2 linked regions of the Drosophila melanogaster genome follow. The protein of the gene in region 2 interacts with the protein of the main gene of each other region in a pairwise test. Each region holds a gene or a part of one and is shown on either strand. Other genes may lie near its edges.

Evidence for each region.
Region 1: the proteins of rdo (region 2) and CG31522 interact in a two-hybrid assay, tested with the Drosophila melanogaster proteins (one large-scale study listed by BioGRID).

The regions. Positions count from the first base shown.
Region 1 is NT_033777.3:4,460,020-4,467,133, reverse strand, and holds the start of CG31522 (uncharacterized protein), read left to right. Parts: upstream 1-4,250; 5' UTR 4,251-4,507; exon of another isoform or gene 4,508-4,514; intron 4,515-7,114. Other genes in the region: CG31523 (uncharacterized protein), read left to right, coding at 291-443.
Region 2 is NT_033779.5:18,010,380-18,017,493, forward strand, and holds the start of rdo (reduced ocelli), read left to right. Parts: upstream 1-2,000; 5' UTR 2,001-2,653; intron 2,654-7,114. Other genes in the region: elfless, read right to left, coding at 118-486, 555-632, 699-827, 884-997.

The DNA.
Region 1 (7,114 bases), on a different chromosome or scaffold from region 2:
AGGGGCGAGCCGTCGTGGGCTGTTATATCATCATAATTTTGTTGATCAACTTAAAATTCTAACTAGCTGAGTTAGGCAAACAGCACTTGCGAACTCTCAGCATAGGCGGGGGACGTTTCAATTAGCGCTCACATGTGAAGCCGGATGCGAAGGCCCAAGCCCAGTCCCAGCCCAATCTGCCGCCCATTAGAAAAGCACATGGGCGGCATGTTCGCTGCCAGCACACGTGCCATCGTCCAGTGGAGTCTGAACCCATTGAACTCATTGAGCACTCTGTGTTTTCTTTTCAGCCGGTGATGGAGGACGAGTACGTCAAAAGCAAGGGGCAATCGAATGGTGCCTACAAGGAGGGCTTCTTCAAGGAGGGCGTGTTATCCAACAACGATGCCATCTTCAACCCGGACAGCAGTAGTTCTAGTCTGCACCAGCGCAAAGTCAAATAACTGCTGATTAGGTGTACTACGATGATATTCATTATGTTTATGTTAAGTGATTAGCGTGTAACTGAACCAGATTGAAGAACAAGACGAGCAAGAAACTTGGCAGAAGTAGCAGAAGACGATTGGCACGACAGCAGCGAAAAATTAATAGAGCTCGGTTTATGGATTGTTTTTGATAATTTATATTTTAAATACGTACAATACATAAAATCAGTTATGGCAAAAGTCAATCGGATGCGCCGAAACTTACCGAACAAACGCCACCTATGCCCACCCACCCGAACCGTCATTAACTAAAGCTAAGTAGAAAGAGAAGCGGCAGCACAAACTAAGATATAATCAAACCATTTTTACAAACATGTCCTACGGCACCAGTATGAACGTCCCGCTTGAAGCACAAATACGCCTCTGGTGCGCAGAGAAAAGTTATTTTTTGAACGATATTTATAGAGCCATAAAGCCTGTTTAAACCAGCTACAGATACCAATTATAGTGTAGCTTACCGCATACAAACACCAACAAAGACATACATACATACATACTCACTTTAGGTGTAAAATTTTGTATGAACATTTTTGATAACAAATTGAGATGTTACGGCGGCCGAACCTATGATATATGAAAGCTATACATGCTCTCTTCAGTCTGCTCTAAACTCAAAGAAGACGTTATACTATTTGTAGCTTGTTTTGTATATTGAGAGAGAACGGCATTTTGTTGCAATACTTTGTAAAGGTCTAATAGTTAAACTTATTTATACATTGTAGCTAGCTAGCCAATTGCAAAATGCAGCACGACCCAGACCTCCCCTTGGCCTTCCTGGACAATTGTGACAACTAAACGGACGACCGGACCGAAGATCACACTATAGTCAGACAAGAAAGAGTGACAAAGATCATGGAGATAAAGCTTTTATACTGTAAGTGCAAACCGGCTTAAGGACGAAGACAATCAGTTTATTAGTTGGTTGCCGACCAATGTAAATGAATCTTAACAAAAGTTTTCAACTATTTTCGCATTGCATTGAACCTCTTTTTGGTGTGGCTCATATATATTACTTTATTACTACCTATTCAATATCCGCTTGTTTCCATTTTTGGTTTGAAGTTGTTAAACGGTTTTTCAGCGCAGTGAGAAGTATTGGTGACAAATTATTTGTAAGTGTAATTCTGTCTGTTAATCCGTGCGTATGGTTTCGTTGTTAGATTATGTGGCTTAAGCTGACAAGTTCAAAAACTATAGAAAACCTAAATAAAGCTTTTTAATTTATATTAAAACTGTTCAAGAAAATATTTCAATTGTATTAACGCATATTTTGTACGTGTGTATAACTTTCATGACGGGATTGAATCCCTGGGGCCAGTGTACAGTGTAATTGTTAATAAACGAACACATTAAGTGTATTCCCACTTATAACTGATAATTAGAGGCTTTAGAGCCTCTGAGGGTGTGGCAATTGACCCATGTGGCCTATCCCCTAATGAGATTGGACATTGTTTCAGAGAAATACAAGGCATCTTGCCAGCCACGAAAATCTAGAAATAATAAAGGCTTTAAAATAATGCCTTTACTATCAGATGCCTGTTGCTTACTTAACAAAATTTCCGAGAATGGGTCAAGTGTAATATTTTATTTACAAGTCACATATTAATTTACAAATTCTACCGAATTAATATTGCATACACCAGGCCTAACACCTGATGTGCCTTTTGAACTTTTAATAAAAAAGAACTCTTGAAATAATCGCATTAGGAATTACGCTGAGCATGAATCAAATTTCACATTTCCCACTTTATACGACCAAGTAGTGAACCAAATCATAAATATTTTATGAATTACATGAATATTCCAAATAAAACTATATTATATTTATTAAACCAATAACACTATATTATAGGATATATTTAGTGTCTCCCTCCACAAGAAAAGTCCTTTGAACTACGTCGTTGCTAAGTTTTAACTTTAATTTAAGAACTCCTTGCGACGTTTATAACTTAAACCGCAACGAGAAAGGAAGTTAGCCTTGCACCTGTAGCTTATTTGCGTCTGCAGTACTATGACGTCATTTTCAGAATTAAAGGGTATATATGTAGATTCGTTGAAAAGAAAGAAATTTAAAGCGGTTATGGTAGTCCGATCTTAGCGTAAAAGATCAAGCGATTACATACCAAGACTTTGAGAAAAGTAAAAAAAAATTTGGCTGAGCCCCACTACCAAACATATGTTAAAATTAAATTGGAACCTTTTGGGCGTCTTGTTCGTCCCTTAAAAAGCATTTTTTGAAATACTTTACCTAAGCCCATAATTTGTGCTACATGTCATTAAAAACGCGTTTGCAAATGATTATTTGCTTTTCACAATTGTTTTGTCTCAAACAACAGATTAAAATGTAATACCCATTACCCGTAGAGTCAAAGGGTAGACTATAGGTAGGCAGTTTATGTTCTTTTCTGACTCGATAAAGAACATATTACTTCATCAGGACCAATAGACCGTATAAACGTCAAGATCTCTCTTGTTTTTTTTTTTACGATGATCGTTGAACGCTCGGCTGTGCAAAAGTGCAGAAACGTACCAAACAATCGAAAAAATCAAATAACAATACAGATTGCCACTGACTTAATGTACAAATGGGCCAGTACTTAATAGACGCGTACTAATTTTTGGCAAACAAATCCGCTAACAGGCGGCGACAGCTGGGCTGTACAGGCTAATATTTAAGCCCCTCTTGACCTTGTCGGCTCTCGACTCTTGCCGCATCAGCCGGACAGGGCGCGATGTTAGCCAAGTTGACATAACTTAATGCATCATAATGCACCGGCGTATTTGGAGCTGGAGCTGCGACGGAGACTATCGGCACTTCAGGCTAGTGTTAGCGTTAGATAATAATAACTATTTCCCAGCTCACTTTGGCACGCGCCCTTTGATGCGTTGTGACCAAACACTGAACCCTGACCAATTATCAATTGTATTATTACTACCAAGTATCCGAATTTCGTTTACAAGGAATGAACTTTGGAGAATTAAAAAAACTGTTGGAAAAAAACTATTAATTCAGGCAAAAGCTGCGAGTAACGACCGCTATAAAAATAAAACCCCTATTTTCTTAAATACTATCGATTTGGAACATATAATTGTAGGATAATTAGACAATAAATCTTAAGTCACCCCATATTTTGCGAAAACTCTTTCATCATGTTCCAAGCAATTCTTAATTGTTGGTCATACGGTTGGCCCAAAGTTTCGAATAAGGCCGTATATCTGTGCGTATCCATGATTATAAGCCAGATCACCTACACGGGCAGGAATCGTACGCCTCGTAATTAACATGGATGATTTAACGCTGTGAAAGGCCAGGTATCGGGGCTGTTCGGAAGTTCACTCCATGTAATATTTACTCGCTGGCAGTGTGCGATTGCTATTGCGACGGTAGCCACACTTGAACCTTGCCTGCGCCGCTGACATCAGACAAAAAAAAACAAGGTTCGGGTTCAGATTTGGGTCTTGGGTTCGGGATCTCCGGATCTGAATCGAGTCGCATCATTCCCGGTGTCCGGGAATAGCCAAGAGCCAATCAGGCCATTTGCCATCTTCGTGCACTGCACTTGACGCTCGGCGGCGGAAAGTTTTCGCACTGCACTCGGTCGGTGCTTGCCGCTGACCGTAACGTTTCCACCGCAGCCGCTGCGCTGCCAGTGGCGTTCTTCCCTGCGCTGGCGCTCGCGGTTGCGCCTGCGCCTCCGCTTCGTCGGCGTCGCGCGATCCGCGTTTAATTAGCCGCGCGGCGCGATCGCGGCTCAGTTTTCATTCAGAAGTCAAGCGCGCGCTAATCGCAGACGCAGTCACCGATCCCGTGTGCGAAAGCCGAAAGCCAAGAGCCAAAAGCTATTGCGAAAGTAATCATTTTACAAAGTTCTTTGGCAACACTTTGTGAAATAGTTCGGGCCGCGCAATTTGTGTGTTGTGGTTTTTGCAGTTTTTAGTTTTCAGATTTCGGTTGCCAGCGATTTACCAACCGAGCTGCTGCTGGCCGCCTTCCGTTGCGGATTTCGAGCTGTTTGCAAGTGGTAAGCTGTAAGTTGTTCGCACATGTGATTTTTGTTTTTCGCTCTTTTGCAACTGCGCGGCGCTTGGTCCGTTCACAATAAGCATTTTGGACGGCGCTCTCCACGCCAAAACACCTCCCCGCTCTGGCCAATCTGCCCGGCTATAAGGCGCAGATCGTCCGAGCTAATCGATTTGACTGGCCAATCGGGCTGTTCGATCCGGTGTTTCCAATGGTGTGGCAACCCTGCCATTTGGCGGTTGCACAAAATCAGCTTGCGTGGGGCATTTGATTCCCAGCGAGGATCCGATGCTGAGGACCTCTGGAGAATCCTCGACGTGTGGTCGCAGGCGGGATTCCGGCGGGATTTAGCCCTGGCCTGACTGGCAGCGCAGCGGCAGACCACGAACAGCTGGGCGGATTTGTATGCTGTTTGAGCAGCTGTTCTGGTTTCTGGACTGTTGACTCCCAATATACCGATAGGTTTTGTTTTGCTGACCCCTCGAGATAATGCATAAGAATTAGCCAGCATCGTAAAGCTTTTCACCGTTGACATTGGGTCCAAAGTAGCAGAAGCGCAATTAGTGCGCCCTTCGCGAATAATTGCCAGAGTTTTTCTTGCACTAAAAATATACAAAATGGTAATCCAAGGCAACTCGAAACAAGTGCGGAAACGATTCGCACAAAACCGGATCTGCAATGACCCGATTTTGGCCTTGGACTTGTCGCAGGGCATCCTGATCGTGGCAAAAAGTTTCCTTGAGTGTTTCCCAGTCAGGCGAGGTGGTCGAACGAAAACCGCTTCTGGGACCGACTTTCGAGGTCTTGTGACTTACTGATCGATAATGGGATAATGGTAGTGAATGGCTCCAGATCGACGATCGCTTCCGCGTTGGCTGTAATTGGACATCATAAATTGAACCGCCCAGAAGGGCTTGCTCATTGTTCTTACCCGGACTGGAGCCACTCAGGCGCTCCTCGGCGGATGCCACTAAGGTGGCAAATACTTTCAAACAGTAAGCTGGGATTTCGCTTTCCGTATTTACATATGCAAACCATTTGGGTTTTTTTCGCGCTCACCGTTCTTCAAATGCCACGCACGTAGCCGCGTTTCCAGCGAATTTACAGGCTACACGCCAATCCCCTGAGATCGCAGATCCGAGATCTGAGGCCCGACTCTCAAGAAGCCTCAAGAAGCCTCAGCCAAAACTTACCCAAACATTAAATCGCTCAACGCTCGCCGGCGTGGCCGCAGCTCTGGCTCACACCGCTTACTCTCTACTTATAAATAATTTAAACACAAAAGTTTGTTTGTCTAGAAGAGGATCTCGCTTCCACATCGAATAGCGCAATGGGGCGTGCTAACAACTGCGATTTGCGGAAGCCAAGTGTTAGGAAAAGAGCCGTAAACGTTTACATTTACGTGAAAGTATACCTTTATATGTATACTATTGTTTGCTATTATGTTTGCTATTGAATGCATTACAAACGGTTTAAATGTATTGATAAATACAAAATAGAAGGGCATACACTTTTGTCTGACTCCCATTATATATATATATATATGCATATGCATATATATGCATATATATACTTCTACCGACCATAAAAGCCACTAACCGATAGATAGGCCGCCGCTTGAATACCAAAATGTCTTGGGCAGTTTTCGAATATTTTAAACAATTACTACATTACAGTTAAGCGCCAATAACAATACCCGTACAATTCCTGGATTAAAGCAAGATTTCGTATCTTAATCTGGTAGCAATCCAGTTTGTACAATACGAACATTTTGTATATAAACTTTATAAAAAACACCTCCAAATATGTGGGATTAAAGTGACGATGACACTTCTCAAGTCCTAAAATGGCAATTAGTTAAACTTTTTTTTAACAAATTTTGCAGACAAACACATTTTGGAAAATGTCATTCAAATCTTGTTTTATAAATACAAGAATTATAACTAGAATTGCTCCCCCTTCTTCCTAGCTAATCATCATTCAACAAGAGATTTAAATCATCAAAAGATTATTCGATCACGATATACATAAATGGCTCTGATCAGACTCTCGGTTCTCATCGTCACTACGTAAACTGCCATCCACAGCGATGTTAGGGGACTTTACTTGGGATAAGCACACGTACCTACTTATAATGTCAATTGGAAGACAGCGTTTTGCAGTGACTAATGAAAACAATTAACAGAATTTCGTCCGCCTATGTCTGCGACGTGTACGGCATTAAAAATATTCCAGAAGCAACAACACTATCAGCCACATCTCCGCACTTTAGACAGAAGATACTCACAACTTGTTCATGACACTAAAACAAGTTGAGACATCACCTAGCTTGCACTTCGGTTTGCATTACCTTAGTTCTGCTTTGAGTTTCAACTTCCCCGATTTGATTCGACAAACTGGAGTAACTAGCGTAACTAGACTTACTCTACTCTAACTAGAGTTTACAACAGCAGTCTTTGAAACCCCGGGAAATTAGTTAAATAGCTTGTCAGTAAATTGACTTAATTAGTGAGCCGAAGCGCGAACAGCAAAACGAAAAGGAGCTGCAATATGCCCAATAAGACTAACATTTAGAAGAACACCACAAATTGATCGTTATAAGAAACTT
Region 2 (7,114 bases):
GTTTCTTTAGGTGTGAATATTGTGTTACGGTCTTTCGAAAGTATATGCCACAAGTCTATTTGTGGTATTTAAAACCGTGGTATTTTTAGTTTAGTATGCTTTCTGCCATATCACGTCTTACAAGAAAATACGATGGAATTCGGGCTCATCCACTCCGCACAATGGGCATACCCTGCCAGTGTCGACAGCTCTCTTAATGCACGCTTTGCAGAAAACGTGGCCACAATTGGTGGACACTGGTAGCTTCTCGCGGACATCTTCCAGGCACACAGGGCAGTTGTAGGGCAAGACAGATTTCTTGGACTCCTCGTCATCTGATTTGATCCGTTTGTTGGGAGGAGAATCCTCGTTTGAATCTGAGGATTCTGTATGTCCCATTGGTGTTGATGATTCGGTGGAGCTCATACTGCTATCGAAGCTAATGCTGGTCGATGAGCTTTCACTATCACTGGAACTAGACGACTCTGAGTCGCTGGAATACTCCAACTGCACAACAAAGTTAAAGCTATTAAAACCTATGGATTCCGGATCGAGATGAACGAACAAGAACTTACCAGGAATGGGGTTCTGTCGATAGATCTGCTGCTGCTTGAGGAGTCCGAGTCTCCGTAATACTCATTTGGATTCCGCTCCTATTAAATGATGTTGTAATGTAACCAATGGATTCTGGGTGGGACCTGGCTAGAACAATAACTTACAGAGGAACCGCTGAGTAAGCGGGATCTTAATCCGGAGGGCGCGAGTACGGGAGTGGGCCCGGTGTTATGGATTCGCTGTGATACTCCAGAATTATTCGAGGTCCTGAAGTTTTCCATTTGAAGTCCCACCTATTCCATAAAGTGTATTATCAATAGATTTCAGAGCTGGGTGAACATGAACTTACCAGGTAACTGAGGCGAGAGCTCAAATGTGAACGGTTTCTGGAAAAGGGTAAGGAAATAACCCTAGTGTTCTGCTCCCATTCAGTAGAAGAGTCTGAGTCGCTGGAATCACCCATTTGAAATCGCACCTGTTTTTGCAGTTTTAATACTACCAATGAATTCTGCCTTGGAACTTACAACTTTTTACAAATTCAGTTGAACCCGTTTCCTTGCTTTTTATTTGCAAATTTACAAGAAAGCTGTTTGAACATATGTCAAAAAATCTTGAAAGTTCCAGGACACAATACCAGTATTTTAAGTGCCAAAGGTCACACTGCGATAAAAAGTACCATTTCAACGCGCCAACAATCATTGTCCGATTTCCATGATTTCCAAATTGGATATTTGCTTAGGATTGTCACCCTAAGAAGTACTATTTATACCAGGTACTCGTGGAGTAAAAGGGTACACTAGATTCGTTGAAACAAATAGAAGGAATTTCCATTTAATTAAGATACAAAACCGAGTAGATCTGGCTATGTTCGCCTGTCTTGCCGGCCGTATGAAAGAATCATAGGAACTATAAAAGCAAGAAGGTTGTGATTAAGCGGACAGATTCTAGAGACATAGACGCAGCACAGATTTTTTGGCCCTGTTGCCACGCCCACTCTAACGACAAACCGCCCAAATCAAATTTGTTTATAATTTTATTAGTCTTGTTAATTCTTATCGATTAGACACAAAACTTTTTGCCATGCCCACTCTAACGCCCAGACTTTAGAACAATTTTTAAATGTTTTCACATTCATCGATATCCCAGAAAAATGATCGAATTTCGCGTTCGTATTCCCACTAGCTGAGTAAGGGGCATCTAAAAGTTAGGGAACTCGACTATAGCATTCTCTCATGTTTGTATCTTAAATGGTTAACATAAAATTAAAAAATATGCTAACAGAAGTAACTCCCTACAACGAAAGAAATTCAAAGATCGAAAGTCCGGACTCAACAACATAGAATTCCCGAAGTCACACACGAACTTGCAACATGTTGCAAGTGCCGCTCGGACTGTCTCGAGCCGTTGGAAGCTCCAGCCGCGTTCTCGACTTCCGATTTAACTTTCAGCGCGCTTTCGGCCGACTTCAGTGTACGTTTGGCTCGCGCAGAGTGCGGATTGCAGTTCGATTCGGCTTAATCAGCCCAGTGATTTTAGCGTATTTCATCCGTAGGATTGCTCTGCCGCAGATCTGGCCGATAAGACTTGGCAACACATCAGGACCCAATCCTGGAGGCCCTAACCGTAATTAAATTATCGGGCGAGTTAATTGGCAGCCCGAGAGTTGCGAAAGTCGTAATGACGGTGCCATTCATCTGGCATTTAGCTTGATTCCCGTTCGCCGATCGCTTTGCCGTGCTAAAGTCTGTAATATTTGGTTAGTGCGGGTTGCCAAAAAGTTAAACAGAACAGAAAGTACGGTTCATTTGCTAAATACACGGGACCATTCAAATATCCCGACACAATTTAAGAGTGTGTGTGGGCGTGTGTTTGTGTATGTGCGCTCAGTGAGTGAGATGTGTGGCAAGTTTCATTTATTGGCAGCCAGCAACTGATTTGAATATTCACTCGCACACTCATACCCGAAAGGATCTGCGCTGCCAAAATACTAGACCAGATTGTGGCTCCTGTGTCGCCCGTGCATAAGTGTGTGTGCAGTATGATTTATAGGTCCTGCAGCAGGCGTGATGTAAAGTGACAATTTCTGGTAATTTTCGATTTACATGCCGTTGTGCATTGGGTAAGTTTGACGAAGGATCCCTGGATTTTGTTTACTTTGTTTTTATAACATTACCTGGAATTAATTTTATGCGTAATTTATTGCTGCGAAAAAGAGAAGAAAGAGGTCAAACCTGATTCAGTACCTTCCATAATAATAACTTTATAATATATCATTTGATAATAAATTTCAAACTGTTATTTTTGGGAAGAAAAGGGTTGGATGGGGCAGACTTATTATATTTATTTTTAAATTTCCACGTGTCATGTTAAAAAACTATGGATGGAAAACCATATTTATTTGCTCAAAATGAATAAATTTACCTTATCTTATCCTTGTCTATTTTTTTTTTGTATTTAATTTCCATATTTAAAGTTATAAAAATATGATCTAAATGTTAATAAATATGAATTTACATGATTCTATACAGTTCTACCAAAGTACAACTACCAAAAGCATTTTATAAATCGATTGAAAAACGTTCCCATTGGCCACGCATATTGTTGTTTATCTTTATATTTCCAAGGCACACGAGTAGTTACCTCTGAGCTAAGATTGATTTACACCTGCTCGGATGTCTTGCCAATCAGAAACCGCAAGACAAACACTACCTGCGCACTCGCGAACATATCAGATCGCGTATACTTCCGCTCTTAGAGGGTTTCGCTTAAAACGGTTTCCGCGAAAAAATTAACTTTCCTAGAATCTGAAAATACGTCCCTGAATAGCTGAGTAGAATAAATCAATGAGTAATTACAGAAGTGTTATTGATTTTGGGCTCCTTTCTCTCGAGCATAAATTAGAGCCAATAAATATCGCGACATTAGGGAAATTTTATCGGTTTCGGATGGCCGAAGATTATATTAATGGGTGCCATTAATATTTAATCCTCGACAACAGGTTTCACCAGCGTTAAGGACACAGAGAACGCCAAAGAAATAAAACCATCCATCCCATTATTTGGCAGAAGGAGAATTGGAAACTTTTGCAAACAGCACCTGTGTCTAAGGAATTTTTAATAAAATCTCCTGAAAAAGTGGTAAACTCAACAAAGCCATTCGTCATGCTCAAGTAACTTGGGTTTTAGACTTTTGGGGTTTTTCCCTTTCGCATGCTTTTTCTTGCTGGTCAGCGAACCAGTTTGGCATCATAATTATGCAACCAGGCATGCAGCTGAGGACACTGTCGGCTGCCAAAGGGTTGAAAGGAACCCTTTCTTTCTTTATACATTTAAATTTGGGTCACTTACGGCCGAAGCAAATTGTAATTAAAATATGAATTTTCCATGCAGCCATATAACAATTCACTTTTAATTTTAATCATTAAATCCCAAAAAAAAAAAAAAAACACTTTTATTTTGAACAAAGCGCAACTCTTTTTTCACTTTTGCGACGGCCTTGACGGACTTAAAGAGTCCTGACTGTGGAAAATAATCATCATCAGCCGCAGGATTTCAAACCACCATCATTATCGTCTGCTGGTCTGGTTTGCATAATTTCATACATAAACTGTCGCTTTTTGTGCGCATAATCTGCAGCTTTTAAACAAAAAAAAAAAAAAAATAGGCAAAAAATATTAAATAAAACGCAGTGTCGGCGGAAAGGTGTCATATACTCCAAAAATTGGGTGTTCTAAATGTTCGAGAAATGAAGCGCTGAAAAGTTGGTCGCGTTACGCATCCGCCATGTTGCGCGGCGCCAAGTGGTGAGGATTACGCCGGGGTTCCCATATACTTAATGACATGCAGCTGCTGTTTTACTTGCGGTTTCTCCCTGGAGCCCCCAGGAACCTTTAGTAAATTTTGCTGTCTTGTCCCCCTCCGGACTAACTTATGAATTTTAAGGTGATTTCCATGTCGCAGGACCAAGTTCAGGAAACTTTGGATTGGGGGTCCTTTGGGAATATGGGATGAGTGCCACGTCACATCGGGGACTTGTCAGCAAAGGGTTGATCGCATCATAAATCAAACGAACTGTTAGCCCAGTTCGCAATCAAAATCATTCTGCGGTCTGCAGCATTTGTTCCTCAGAATGTGGTAATTAATCATCGAAAGTAATTGGTTTTCTGTTTTGATTTGACATTTGAAAAATTGCAGCTGTGACAATTCAATCCCAGTTCCAGTTTATTTGCCTAGCGCCATTTACTTCGCTGGTTTTTCAGTGCAAAATGCTGCAAAATAAACGCAAAAGTTTATTATACTTTGGTTTTTGCCGAAGTGAAATGGTGACCTATGCAAATTTATGAATGCAAATTAAATATAAACGAACGCATAAATGCGGCTTAAAAATATTGCCACGCAATATTGGCAAACAATGGGATTAACTGGACAAAAAATGGTAGGGAGTGTCCTTGAAGTCCATGTTTTTTAGCACGGGTATTCATAGGCTAAATTGCCAATATGGCCGCAACTCTGGCTTTAACGGAATTATGTCGCTAATTTAATGATGGCAAATGTATTGTTTTGTCGTTGGCCCCACTGAGATTGGTTTATGGGCGCAACCGTTTATACAACTTTGCAAACAAACCAAATAAACTCAGAAATTAAACTAAGACGCAAATAAAGTTTGTGAGGCACAGTCGCGATGTTGGCACTTAAAACTTCTTGAATGCCAATCATACCCCAGCGAATTTCTCGACAATAAAAAATTATTTAAAAATCGTTAAAGTTTTTAAAGGGAATTATGCCCCAAAGAAGCCGAAATACTCTAAGCTGTGTGCTCCGTTTTGGTTGTGTGGCACTTCAAAAGAAATAAAACGAAGACACAAAAATATCCCCACCAAAATACACACAAATTCTCGGTCTTCGGTGACTTTGTTTTGTTTGCCAAGTCTGAAAGTGGCTCTCGTGGTCCGTATTTGTGTTTTGTTTCAGCTTTTTCGGTGATGAGAGCCCCACTGCTAACTCAATAACACAATTTATGGTATTTTTTCAAGTGGCGTCCTCGTCGGGAACAGAAGCATCGCACATCGCATGTGTTTGCTTTCATATTGAAGTTTATTTTACAGTTTTATGATCATGAAATAAGAGGGGAATTAAAGAGTTGATGATTTAAATGCGTTTAATAACGCTACCATCACAGCAAACTCTGTTATTGCATTTTGAATCAGAAAGATTTTTTAGTTAGTTTAAGATGCAATTAAAACTAATTTCCATTCGGTTATTTTTTATTTTTTTTTTTTAATTTCAGACATTTTCAGGAAACAAATTATTTTACCCAGGATATCTCGTATTCGAATGGAAATCACAATCTTTATGCCGTTGCCACCACGTGCTTCTTATATTTTACTTCTCAATTAAATACCACTTTGTTTGGAATAAATGCGCATTTTTGTTGCTGCTGCACATAAATATTTATGCGGGACTTAATCAAAGAAAAATGTTGGGACTGAGGCTTAGGCCAGCTGTGGTCCTTTCAGCATTTAGTCCTTTTCATTACGTCTGTTCTATTTGCGCCAGATCAACTCATTTCTGTTTATTTAAACATTAAATGTGCTTACATTTGATTAGCAGCCCGAGAGCTTAATTCCATATCAATGTACTGGCAGAGAGCTCTTTTTTCGGCTGAAAACCATATAAAATTTATGTGTTTGCCTTGCTTTTAATTTGTTTGCATTTTTATATTATTTATTTTCGCCTGGCTTGTGTAAATTTCTCTTTTTGGTTTTGAGCTCATTACATTTCCTTTCGGGTTATGGGAGCTGTCTTTTATGTGGCCAGTCGCATTAAAATGCATGAAATGCGCAATTAAAAACGAGGACAAAGTCTCTTTGAAGATGGCAGCGGGATATCATTTCCTTTTAATTAAATATGTAAGGGCATTTCACATTTAAGCACATATCGATGCTTAATTAAAAGCACTTTGTGTGTTCAGTCCATTACGCAAAAAAAAAGGTTTCATAATTTGATGAAAGGGGTGCTTGGGATCCAGCTCCCTTTTTGTTTGTGTATATTTTAAAGAGCCACTGCCACCGGGATATCTGCTGTCCGGGCATTTTTCCGCGGCTCAGCAATGACAAGTGGCACTGAACTTGTTGTCAGCTCGTTGTCCAAATGACAAATGGGTGCATTTGCCTCTTGCCGAGCGGCATCGCCATCGATATGGCATCGAAGTCGCGCCGCGCGGCAATAAAAATAAACTGTTTCGGCAACGAATCCGAAAACAAATCTCCTTTCCCCCAATCCTTGGAACTTGGGACCACACACCACGACGCAATGGGCAATCGAGTGTAAAAGTATGCGAATAGCTTGGCATTTTTATTTATATTCCGCGACCCGCCAAAAATTGTCAACATGGATCAATGTGGGGCCAAACTTTCAACTGGCTTTGTCATTGGTTTGTAGCCCGGTTATGTAAGCGTTGCTAAATAAACATAAAAAACACTGTATTGTAGCTTAAAGTATCATATTTCCCCTCATATTTATAATATTATCATCTGGATTATCGCCGGCATTCGCGTGTGAGTGTGTGTGCGAAATCAGGC